Neurospora crassa OR74A: one gene and its partners. The protein of the gene in region 2 interacts with the protein of the main gene of each other region in a biochemical or structural test. Links are inferred from orthologs where the notes say so. Each region holds a gene or a part of one and is shown on either strand. Other genes may lie near its edges.

Evidence for each region.
Region 1: the proteins of pex4 (region 2) and pex10 form a complex in vitro, tested with the Saccharomyces cerevisiae proteins (2 studies listed by BioGRID). The link is inferred for Neurospora crassa OR74A from reciprocal best matches to the Saccharomyces cerevisiae genes PEX4 and PEX10.
Region 3: the proteins of pex4 (region 2) and pex12 form a complex in vitro, tested with the Saccharomyces cerevisiae proteins (3 studies listed by BioGRID). The link is inferred for Neurospora crassa OR74A from reciprocal best matches to the Saccharomyces cerevisiae genes PEX4 and PEX12.

The regions. Positions count from the first base shown.
Region 1 is NC_026501.1:5,159,064-5,162,914, reverse strand, and holds pex10 (RING-1), read left to right. Parts: upstream 1-1,392; 5' UTR 1,393-1,665; coding exon 1,666-2,955; 3' UTR 2,956-3,289; downstream 3,290-3,851. Other genes in the region: NCU03278 (protein-ER retention protein), read right to left, coding at 1-809, 888-978; bem46 family protein, read right to left, coding at 3,644-3,809. UniProt on the Saccharomyces cerevisiae protein: E3 ubiquitin-protein ligase component of a retrotranslocation channel required for peroxisome organization by mediating export of the PEX5 receptor from peroxisomes to the cytosol, thereby promoting PEX5 recycling.
Region 2 is NC_026501.1:3,007,521-3,011,306, forward strand, and holds pex4 (ubiquitin conjugating enzyme), read right to left. Parts: upstream 2,284-3,786; 5' UTR 1,565-2,283; coding exon 1,396-1,564; intron 1,265-1,395; coding exon 945-1,264; 3' UTR 507-944; downstream 1-506. Other genes in the region: NCU02637 (hypothetical protein), read right to left, coding at 2,992-3,786. UniProt on the Saccharomyces cerevisiae protein: Catalyzes the covalent attachment of ubiquitin to other proteins. Essential for peroxisome biogenesis. Required for UBC4-independent ubiquitination of PEX5.
Region 3 is NC_026504.1:5,625,313-5,629,172, forward strand, and holds pex12 (peroxisome assembly protein 12), read right to left. Parts: upstream 2,633-3,860; 5' UTR 2,308-2,632; coding exon 967-2,307; 3' UTR 578-966; downstream 1-577. Other genes in the region: NCU05244 (thioesterase), read left to right, coding at 3,407-3,860. UniProt on the Saccharomyces cerevisiae protein: Component of a retrotranslocation channel required for peroxisome organization by mediating export of the PEX5 receptor from peroxisomes to the cytosol, thereby promoting PEX5 recycling.

The DNA of each region.
Region 1 (3,851 bases), about 2.2 Mb from region 2:
AAAGAGGGTGAGATCCCAATCCTTGGCAACGTCCCAGTAAAAGCTGTAGAGTGAGTTGAGCAGACACGCAACAATCCATGCACGGTACAGGCTCGTAGTTGGGGTACCGCTGGTGTTTGCGTTACGCAACATGGCGTTTAGAATGATAACAGGAAACGCGGTCGAGTACTTGGCCGCGTTGGCGAGATGTTGTCCACCCCAGCCCGTGGACTCCTTGAAAGGGGAATTTCGCACGCGCAGATATTCGATAAGACACTGGCGCAGCCGAATAGCGCTTGGTATCGTCAGGAGAAGTGGTACGAGATAGGTGCCGCCGCAGCTGCGATCGGGTCGGTCAGTAGCAGACCCATTCCGCGTGAAGAACATGCAGAGACATATGAACAGGTCCCCAAGGACCTTGGCGTAGCTGGTGAGAACATCAGCCAGCAAGATATCCCCAAACTTTCCATCCTTGGCCTCAGCCAAACCTCCCACACTGACGCGGCGCAGAGTTGCGAGTAGTCGACGTCGACCGGAGTGCGAAACAGACAGTCTTCGCAGGGGTAGCACGAAGAGGGCTGCGGTCACTGCCAAGTTGGTCATGGGAATCCAGTCATAGTCGATAACGCGTTTTGGATCGCGCCTGGTAAACGACCAAAATGTGAGAATCGAAACAGCGGAGCTTAGCGAAAGAAGAGTCGCAAGACGGTATGTCGAGTGGTGGTGAGGGAGCTGGGTTGGGCTCGATCTTCCTGGGTACCGGATTAAGGAGGGGACGTCGATCTTGCGATTATGGAGGAAGTGAAGGTTGAGGCCCCAGCCCCAAACAGCTAATCAACCAGAGATAGTCAGTTTACAACCGTGTATCCAGAGAGCAAACATACGGTAGGAAACTTGTATATACATACCTATGATCACGATGAAGGCAACCCGGTAGGGAAGGGGAAAGGTCAAGCTGAAGGAGTCGAGCTCCGGCTCAACCACGGGATCACCGTCCATTGCGCCAGGCAGCGGTCAATTTGCTGTCCGTCATGGAATGCGGAGAGGGAGAAGTAACAGTTGGACGCAAAGAAGAGTTGATAGGCTTGGGATCAAATTCCCAGCAGTAACGCGTTTGGAGTTTGTCAAGTGTCAAGATGGAAATTTTAATTTCATCTGTATTGTGGTAGCTGTCGCAAAGACACCGGAGTTGCCAAGCCCCTGTCGCGTGCACTCTTTTTGGCTTAGGGAGAAGACCCGACGTCAGTGCAACCCCTGGTCGCGGCCCCGTCCTGTGACAACCCGCTGCATCATCCCTGCCGCTAAAGCCTGGGCTACGACGTTCTGGGCACCCCCCTGCCAATTCCTCAGCTCGCTCCTTGTGAGGAGGAACCACGCCTGGGGCGGCGCCGGGCGTGCTGCCCCCATTAACCCCAAGGACCGAGGTCCATCCGTTCCCGACTACCACTTTCATCTCAGCTTCAACTGCCGCCTGTCGATCTCGAAACATCAAACAACAACTCGGATAATTTCAGATCGAAAAGACTTAATCATCCACTGCCACAGCTTCGACGATTCGACTGTAGGCATACGAGCTCTCCTAGGGTTCGAGAGTTCCCCCTGAATACGTCGACCGTGTAAACACAGCTTTTGACCCCCCCGACTTCGAGCCCACCCGACCCGACCCAAACGACGACATCAATTACCATGTCATTGACGGCCACCAAGAAGCCTCCTCCGCCGCTCACGAGCTCGCCATATCCATTCGCTGCAGCCCCCGACATTATCCGCGCGCATCAAAAAGATGCCTATTTCCAGGGCGTCCTCACTAACCAGCTGACCGACCTTCACCGGCGCGTTCGCGGTGCCCGCTCCGCCCACTCCTGGGCCACCGAAACCCGTACGGCTGCCGACCTGCTCTACCTATGCCTCACCACCCTCCTCGGCAACCGCACCTTAGGCGAGGAGTACTGCGACCTAGTCCAAGTCGAAGAGCCGAGTACGGGCGGCAACGGCAGGATACCAGACACCCAAAGCCCCGTCGAGCCCAGCAGCGAAGCCGGTGGCCCCCGTCTGCCCTCGCTCCAGCGACGAGCCGGCTACATCGTTAGTAGCGTTCTTGTCCCCTACCTTTTCAGCCGCCTGCTGCCCTCCATCCGCGCCGCGCTCCGCAAGCGCCTCCAGGACCGTCTCACCGTGCTTGCCCGCCAGGGCCGCGGCGACACCAAGGGCGCCACCCCATCTACCTCCAACAACAAGGGCGGTGGTTTCTCCACAGTGTCAACGCTTGAGTACCGCGTGAAGCGCTACCTGCTCACACACCTGACTTCCATCACCAGCGGCGCGCACCTGCACGCCTTGACGCTGGCCGTATTCTACTTTTCGGGTGCTTACTACTCTTTCTCCAAGCGCCTCTTCGGGCTGCGTTATGTGTTCACGCGGCGCATCGAGGAGGGTCAAGGCGGTCGCGCGGGCTATGAAGTGCTCGGCGTGCTGCTGGTGGTGCAGATGCTCGTCCGGGGATACCTGCATGTGACGGCGCAGCTGTCGTCAACTTCGCCGCTTAGTGCCGAGGAGGCCAGTACCGAGGCGAGCATTCGGGAGCGCGCCTTTGGGCCGGGCGCTGCGGGCACACTGGATGTGTCGTTAGATGAGAATGCCTATAGCAGCAATAACGAGTTGCTGGTGGAGACGGGCAAGTCGGGTAACCAGCGTAGTTTGGCGGAGATTGGACGGACGACGCACACCCCTGTGCCCAAGGGCGGGAGGGCGAACTACGACTTGGCGGCGAATGAGGAGGTCATGGGCTGGATCAAGGGGAGACAGCAGAGGATGTGCACGCTTTGCTTGGAAGAGCTGAAGGACCCGGCGGCGACCCAGTGCGGACATGTCTTCTGCTGGTCGTGTATTGGAGACTGGGTGCGCGAGAAGCCTGAGTGTCCGTTGTGCAGACGTGAGACGATGGTACAGCATATTCTGCCATTGAGGGTTGCTTAGAGCAGTCCTTTTCTGGCGGTCGGGGGGGACAAAATACTTAATATACGGGAGATATGACAAAAAGCAGGAGTCTTACAACGTCCTCTCGAGAACAGATTTTGGGTAGTATTTGCACATGACAAGGAGCGAACAGTCAACAACTGCGGTTTAGGGATAATTGTATATGCAGCAAGCATATTGCCAGGAGAGAGAGCCTGTTTTCGTACATAGCCTAATGATTGAATGATCCGACATATTCTCAAAAGGTCAGGAACTTTTGACAAGCTAATGCACATATGTTCAAGTATGAAATTGAATTATTCCTTGTCCGATATTAATATTTGGTATTTACTCTACAAAAACTTCTCTTGCTTGATTAATATCGAGTCTCGTCCCGTTTGGGTCTTAATCAAGACCCGAGCAACCTCGACATAGGTCCAAAGGGTCATGAAATACATACACGAGGTGCGAAAGAGAAAATATGACACCTCAATGAAAGCCTCAAGTTCCGACCCATCTTCAAGCATCAAGCCACCAAGGTCGTGGTTGTCGTACTTGTGCTTCGCTGTCCCCCAACAGCTCGTAATCGTGGACGCTTTCGCGTCATCAAGATCGTGGGCACATCATATGCCTCCCCTTCAACAGAAAGACCCATTTACCGTATGGAATGAGGAGAGAGCGACGGCGCGGATTTCGTTGTCGAATCGAGCTATTTCTTTTCGGGGTCTCCTGAGGAAACCCTTTGGATGAATTCTGCGATGGCTTCAAAGTAGCCTTCTTCGAGGACACTCGAGTTATGGTCGCCGTTGGGAAGAGGCTTCCAGATCTTTATCGGAGCGTTGGAGAGATGATAAAGCTGCTTCATATGAGTGGGTCTAAGATGCGGGTGATGGAATTAGCGGACAGCTCTCATGCAA
Region 2 (3,786 bases):
GAGTTCTGGGTTATGGGAAGGAATGTGGGAAGCGAAAAGTGCACAGCTGGAGGGCGCGGTTCAAATACACGTCTGATGTGTGATGTGCCAGACGCAACCTTGTGTGATGATCAAGGTTGTCTGCTCGTTGTCGAGAGAAGAGCTCTTTGCTAACTCCAAAAGCTCTGAGCGACCGGGGCAAGGAATCTTATAACAAACCTTATCTGGTCAAGTTTCCAAAGACATAGGGTACAGCGACGACTTCTGACGATATATACTAGACTATGGGCGAGGAAACATAGGGGACTTTTGAAGTTCATCTTTCCTAAACTAATAGCATAATGAAAAGTAAGGGGTTGCGGTTAGGTTCCTTGCTGGCATCAAGTACAGGTTGGTATATCGCTCTGTTCTGTTCTTTTGTGACTAACAACCGTAGCCATTTTCTAATACAGTAAGCATAGACCATCTCCGATGATTTGGAGCGATGTCTCTTTCTTTTGTATATACATAGTAAGGAACCATGACCAGTCACTGCACAAGTGTCCAGTTGTTGTGCATCTCTACAAGTTCATACATGGCAGCAACGTGGCTGTGGCGAGTACCAATACCACTTGCCCCTGATATCTAAGCGTATATCTCAGGAATGATCTATACCAAGCCCACAGGCGTTGGCTGGCATGTTGGAAGATTCGCTACAACAGCAACATAAGGTCTGGAAACATGAAATATCATCTGTTGCCTGGAGGGAGCAGAGCCACATGACATACTCATAAGCGCTCTTCGTATGTAAGAGGCTTCCACAGCCCGCTTGAGCTACTAGCCAAAATAAATCCAATGGTCTATTTCCCATCCCACGGCTATCCAATCCAGCCCCCCCCCCCCCCCCCTATACCCTTTCTTTACATTCTCCCCTCCATCCATCCCGTACATTCTACACCTCTATCCCTGCCCTCTGCCCAACTCTTTCAAGACCCCTCATACCTCTCTTCCTCAACCCACAACTCCACCAGCCCTCTCGCCGCCACATGATCCCCTTGCCTTATAAGCGCCGCGACATCCACATTAAGCGGACTGTCAATGCCTGGACAGCTCAACAACAGCCTGATGGCTCTCACGCACTCCAAAACGCTGTAAGCGGGCGTCCATGCTTCTTTGAGCAAGTCCAGACAGATCTCCCCCGTGGTAAGGGCTACGTTGGCGTGCACGATGGGGGTGATGAATTTGATGGTTGGTGGGTGGAGGGGGTAGGTCGGTGGGAGGGTTATGTGGAGGAGCCAGCGGCCTTCTGGAGATTTGTGTGTGTTATCGTTAACAATGGAGGCTCTTTTGGGAGAAGGGGCGAGGTAAACATGAAAAGGGAAAGGGGGATGGATAAGAGGGAGGGAGGGGAAAAAAAACCAAAGATAAGAGACATACCATCATAACCACCACCTACCCCCTTCCCGTTAATCACGGCCTCCCAAATCAACAACTCATCGTCGTTGATGGGACCTAACCGCTCGACGCCCTTCTCTTCTTTGGACTCGATGTTGCTCCAGGTCGTGAGCTCTTTGATTAGGCGCTTGGCTGCGCTGCGGTTAGACATTGTTTATATATATGTGTACGTCTGTGTATGCGTGTATCCTTGTCTGTGGTGTATGTAACGTATACTCCGGTTTGTTTGTTCTGTAGCGCTTTGTATGATAGTTGAGTGTCCTCTCAATTTGGTAGGGATAATTATTCTTCCTTGTTCAGCGTTTCCAACGGAGCTGCCCGATGGTGCCTTGATGTGATTCCGACTCGTTTATCCAAGAGCAAGACAGACACGAACGAACGAGATTAGTCAAGCTTCGTCAATGCTATCCGTAAGGTCGAGTCTTCAGTTGCGCCAGCGCCAGTGCTAGTGGTCGGTCGTTCGGTACTCGGTAGTACGCTATGAAAGTATAAATGATCCACAGAGGTAAACCCGCGTTTGAAACTGAGAGCAGGTCGACGAGAAACGAGGGAGCCCTTTGGGGAATAGACTTGCGTATCCTCGTTTGGAAATCGTGTCCGTGAAGTGGATGGTTCTCGCACCGCAGTTGCCGACTGTGGTGTCGTCGCTAAATCGGTATAGCTCTGTCCGTGTGTAAAGCGACTCTTGGTGCACGGTCCTCGATGATCGATCTGTAACGGGTGGGCGAACCGTGATCAATACCACTCAGTGTAGCTGGATCTCGTAAAAGAGCGTATCGTCGGTCGTGTAGGGCTCAGGTATTGTTTGTTGATGTCAAGGTGTCCAAAGTGCTGTGCCCACAGAGGTGCTGCTGCTGCTGCTGCTGCCACCGCAGTGCGGTTGATCGGGGTACCCCTGACGGGCCAGCTGCGCATCGGCGTTTCCGGCGGCTGCATCTACCGCTACGTGGCTCCGTAGATGCGGATCCCTAGTGGTTGAAACCCGTTTGGCGGCGTCACTACGGCGCGCTGAAACTCAAGAACCCTTTGTGTCGCTGAAGCCGAGGCTGAAGTGCCGTTATTCGTTTTCTGGGACGGCAATCCATATTACCCCAATGGAATGGACAAGACCACACAGACAGAAAGGCACCGACATAAACAATAGCAACGTTTTAAGCGCATGGTATCATGGTTTGAATTGCCTAATAATCGTGTTGCGTTTGAAGCTCACCTGATCAAAACCTTCCACCCTAAGTCGATCGTAGACATTTGCAATGATATGTCCATAGAATCACAAAAAGATTTGTCATCGTCCACCTTTGAATCATATGTCCCTTAACCACATCATTCCTCGAGAAATCAACATCTCGTCCCCTAGACAAATTTCTGGTGTGACCGAGATTGCTATTGCTGCTCCCCTTCGTCTCGTGTTATCTTGTCCTTCGTGCTATCGTCAAAAAGAAAAACGCCCTATCCGTCAAGTCGAAAAGCCCTCCAATAAATCTCATCTAGATCCCCAAAATTCCGTACTTAGCGCCACATTAAAACAGAAGAGCCTTGACACCCATGCTCCTAGCTAGTTTCGTCTGAAAAATATCGTTAAGCCTCGCAATTTTCCTTTGATTTCCAGAACTGTACAAACCGGCCGAGCCGCTTGGTCTTGCTGGGTTTGACCTTCTTCTCTGATCCGTCATCAGTCGCCGTAACCTCCATCGAGAGCTTGCTGCGCTCACCATGCGAGCTGCTAACAAGACGGCTAAGGCTAGCAAGACTCGATCGCCTTCGACCAAAGGCAGAGGCACTGAACGAGGCAGGCCTAGGCAGCGTGTTGGAGGATAGCTGCCTAGCCTGAGGGTTTTGCGCAAAGAAGCTCTCACGAGTCATTGACGAGTCGCCGCTGGTCAATGATGGGACATCATCCACCGAGATCCGTACCTCTGGTCCGGGTTCGCCCATAAGCAGTGACTGGAAATTGTCCTCAGTGATGGATGAAGGTGCCGTCGAAATGCGATGGGCGTCGTAGGATAAGGGAGACCTGGGAGACGGGAAGGCTGATGACGGGGTCATCGAGTGAGGACTGACTGGTGCGCATGACACAGCAGCAGGCAAGGTCAACGGACTGCAGTCAACTACAGCAAGGTCCTTGGGACGGAAGGTCTGCCTGGGCGAAGGAGTCGCAGAACCCGAGAAGCTATGTCTAGCCTGTAGCTCATTCTGGTATCCGCTGAAGCTAGGACGGGGAGAATCAGTGACGGATGTCTCATGTCGAAACGCATCCTGAGACCGCCTGCCCAGAGACCCTGTATGGATTGAAGACTTCACGGAGGCGTTGCCATCCTCGTCGGTTTCTACTCCTGGAGGTACAGCAACAGATTCGGTTGCCGTTTCCCGTTG
Region 3 (3,860 bases), on a different chromosome or scaffold from region 2:
ATCACTCTTCTCTTCTCTATCTACTATACTATACTCCTCGCACGAGGACTTCGTTCGGTAGAGGTATATATACACTCTATGCATTTCCATTTCCATTACCCCTTTGTTTTCTCTCTTTTTCTCTCCATAGACAGCTACCTAGTCAAGACAGCGTTCTTCAGGCAGAGAAAGGCAGAATATTCACTGGTGGTCGTATGTATATGGTTATACAATGAGAAGCATCGCAATAATACCTACCTACCTACCTACCGAACTCTATCACATCGCCATCCACTTGCTACAGGGTTTGAAGTAAAATCAACTACACTAGATAGCGCTTCTCATCACGGCAAATAATTGACTAGCTAGTAATCTGAAAGAAATTATCGTCAAGCAAGACGTAGACAGACATACAGGAAGATGGGAAATTCCATTTTCATTGCGAATTTGGTCAACATGGCAGGCAAAGTGGTAGGTGCTACCATATGAGTTAAGGTTTGGCACTTAGAGTCCAACAACAAAGCGGGTTTAGCTCAGTTGGGAGAGCGTCAGACTGAAGTCCACTTCACTCATAAATCTGAAGGTCGTGTGTTCGATCCACACAAACCGCATCTTTCTTTTGCCTTTTTGGATTCGCGAAGTACGTACAGGTAGATTAATCGAGTTACTGAAACGGTGTTGATAGACATTCTGATCCCCCCCCCCCTTTTTTTTTTTTTTTTTCTTGCATGAGCTTCGTGTTGTTCGTACGTGAACCATCCGGTTTGGCAGTACAGAAAAAAAAAGAAGATGGCTGTTGACATTTCATCGACCACGAGGTGATAGAGGAATCTGATTGTCTGACCAGTAAGCATGTCCAGTTTTACATGTTCGTTTGCGGTATGTTGGTTATGCAACTTGCCAGATTATATGCCACCATTAAATAATGTCTAATGTTCGCTTTTCACAACTCATGCCAATCCATCATCCTCAATATCTTCTTTCCGGCTAAACCATGATCCGCCTCAGCCCTTCCGTCCCTCCCAGCACTTTCCTTCCTGTGACGGCACATCTCCCCTCTCCGCTCTCCCACTTGCCCTCGCGCTCTTTCGTCATGAACTTCTCCTGCCTGACATGGGTCCCGCTCATCCACTTGTGTATGCACGAAAAGCAATAGACCACACCCGTCTGACACGCCGCCGGCGTCTGGATCTCGTCCTCGCAAATAGGGCACATATCAGATCTCTTGGGTGGTGGCACCGTGAAAATCGGCAACAGCGTCGAAGCCGCTATAGGCGCCGTCTCGGGCGTTGGTTCCTTGCTGCTAGCCTCCTCCTCTGCCTCATCATCCTCATCCGCCTTCTCCTCCACACCATCCTCCGACGTCCTCGTGATCTTGGGTTTAGGCTTATTCCTCGCTTGCGCCTCCACCAGCCCCGTCACCGTCGGCGGCGGCAGATCCAGGCTTTCCGCCGCCTTGCGACTCAGCTGCTTGGCGAAATCCGAAGCGTACCACCACTCAAGGAACTTGAGCGCAAAAATACTCGTCGGCAGCACCAGCGACAGACCGCCCATCAGCCTTCGACTCATATTCCTCGGACTGAACATCGACCCCCCTGTTAATCTGGAGGTAGCGGCGGCGGCCCCCGCTGCCTTCTCTAGAGCCTCAATCGCCTGATAATCCGCCCCGTTCATCCGCCGCACGCGCGTCCCGATCAGCCACAAAAACGGGTTATGGTACTTTGTGTTGTCAAACAGATACCCCAGGTTAAACGCCAAGATGGCAAAGTAATACGCCGCGTTCAAGCTCGGGTACACTTTACGTAGAAACCAGCGGTAGTAATACAAGAACCGCTCCTTCATCGGGGCCCCCTTTGCCGGCGGCCGCGTGTACTGGCCGCCCAACATGGCGCGCGGCGCATCGATCTCGTAGGCCTCGTCCAGCTTGCGTTTCAGGTAGGGGATCCCGACCATGACGGCCAGGTTCTTCCAGATGTCGACATCGGAGAGCTTGAGGGCGTCGCGGACGAGGTTGGGCGCCGAAGAGGCCGCGCGCGGGATCTCGGCGGCCAGCGCCTTTTCGCGCTTGAGGCCGTAAAAGTGCTCGGTGAAGCTGCCGCCGCGGGTTTTGAGGTAGTGGCGCTCGACGAGCAGCCCCGCGAGGGCGTACAGCTCGTCAAAGGAGTTGAGGATGCGCAGCAGGTGGCGCGGGTAGCGGTGGGTGAGCACGGTGAGGAGGTAGCGGAGGGTGGGCGGGAGGAGGGAGGCGAGTTGTTGTTCCGAGAGAAGCTCGAAGAGGGAGGGCTTGCCGTCGTCGAAGGTGCCGCGGAGGGCGGTGACGAATTCCATGGTTGTTGCGACGGTGCCCGGTTGGGTATTGTTACGGTCTGGTGGTTATCGGGGGCGGGATGGGATGGGATGGGATAGGCTCCCGCCGGTTGTATCGAGAGGGGGTGAGTTCGAGGTTCCTCTTTCGGTATGTTCCAGTGTCGCGCGTAGTGATAGGGGGTCGGTGTGACGTTTTACTAGTATTATATCGCCGTCGTGGTTTCCATCGATGGATTTGTTGATGTCAAGTCAAGTTCACGATATAATTGGGATGAATTGAAAGAAACGGGGCGAGATGGACCTGGACCTCGACCTCCTGGAAGTTCGAACAAGGGGGGGGGGACTCAGACCGGGGCCAAGGAGTGGATGCCGCGACGCATCAAAAGTGGCACTTGGTAGCACTGTGAGTGGACAGCTGAAAGTCGGGCAGCGCAGTGGAGGCCTGTGGGTGCTCCCGTCGCTGTCTAGTGTAGTTGCTTGCTTGCTTTTGCTTGCCGCCGCCGCCATTTGGACCTTGCCAGGTAGCCGAGGCTGTCAGGTCATTCATGTACCCCAAGAAATGGGTTGCAACGGATGCCCGCCAGTTTACCCCATTTGCCCATTCATCCCCAATCATCCCCCCCTGTGCCTGTGATGTGTAGTGTAGACTACTGCTACTATGCTAGGTAGTCACGGCAGGCATGGATACCCCCCTCTCCTCTTTTGCTTTGGTTCGATTCCGTCGAGTTGTCGGGCATCCGTTGTCGGTGTTGTTTCCATCCCGCTCTTTTACACATACCTACTACTACTACCTACTACTTGTACCGCCGGTAACACTACATTGATAAATTACCTACTACTTCCCTGTTTTGACTTATTGCCGGTTCCTGTGTGTGTGTGGTACATCGATACTAACCAACACCGACCAAGGCAACTACCTACCTCCCTCCCGTCTACCTACATACACACTACGAGACTACACTACCTCTACTAACGGCAATCTACAACCGCCCTTCCCTGCCGCGCATCCCATTACGGACGGCACAGTGAAACACCGGACCTGCAAGCCACAATCTTATCATTCTTATTTCCCTTCCCTTCCCGTCTTATCGTCTCGTCTCGTCGCTCACGGAGATAAAAGATGACCATCCGTACTTATCATCGCCCAGTAAAGACATCTGAAGTCGTTGTTGTTTCGTTAGCATCCCAAGAGGAGCAAGAAAATACTATGGCCGGTGGTCAAGAAGGAAGAAAGGGGTCGGCATCACCGCCACCACCACCACCACCACCACCACCAGCAACACCACCAAAGAGCGGTGGTGGTGGTCAACATCAACATCCACATCATCATCTGCACCATCTACACCATCTACACCAACAATATCAGCAATTTCAGCAACCGGCACCACCACCACTACTACCGTATCCACAAAGTCAACATTCACAAAGTCGTCACCCGCAGCAGCAGCAGCAGCAGCCACCAAGAAGTGCAGCACCACCAGCACCAGCACCAGCACCCGCACCCGCACCAGCACCCGCACCAGTACCAGTACAACCACCAAGCACTACCGTCGACCCAAGTCTACTGCCATACA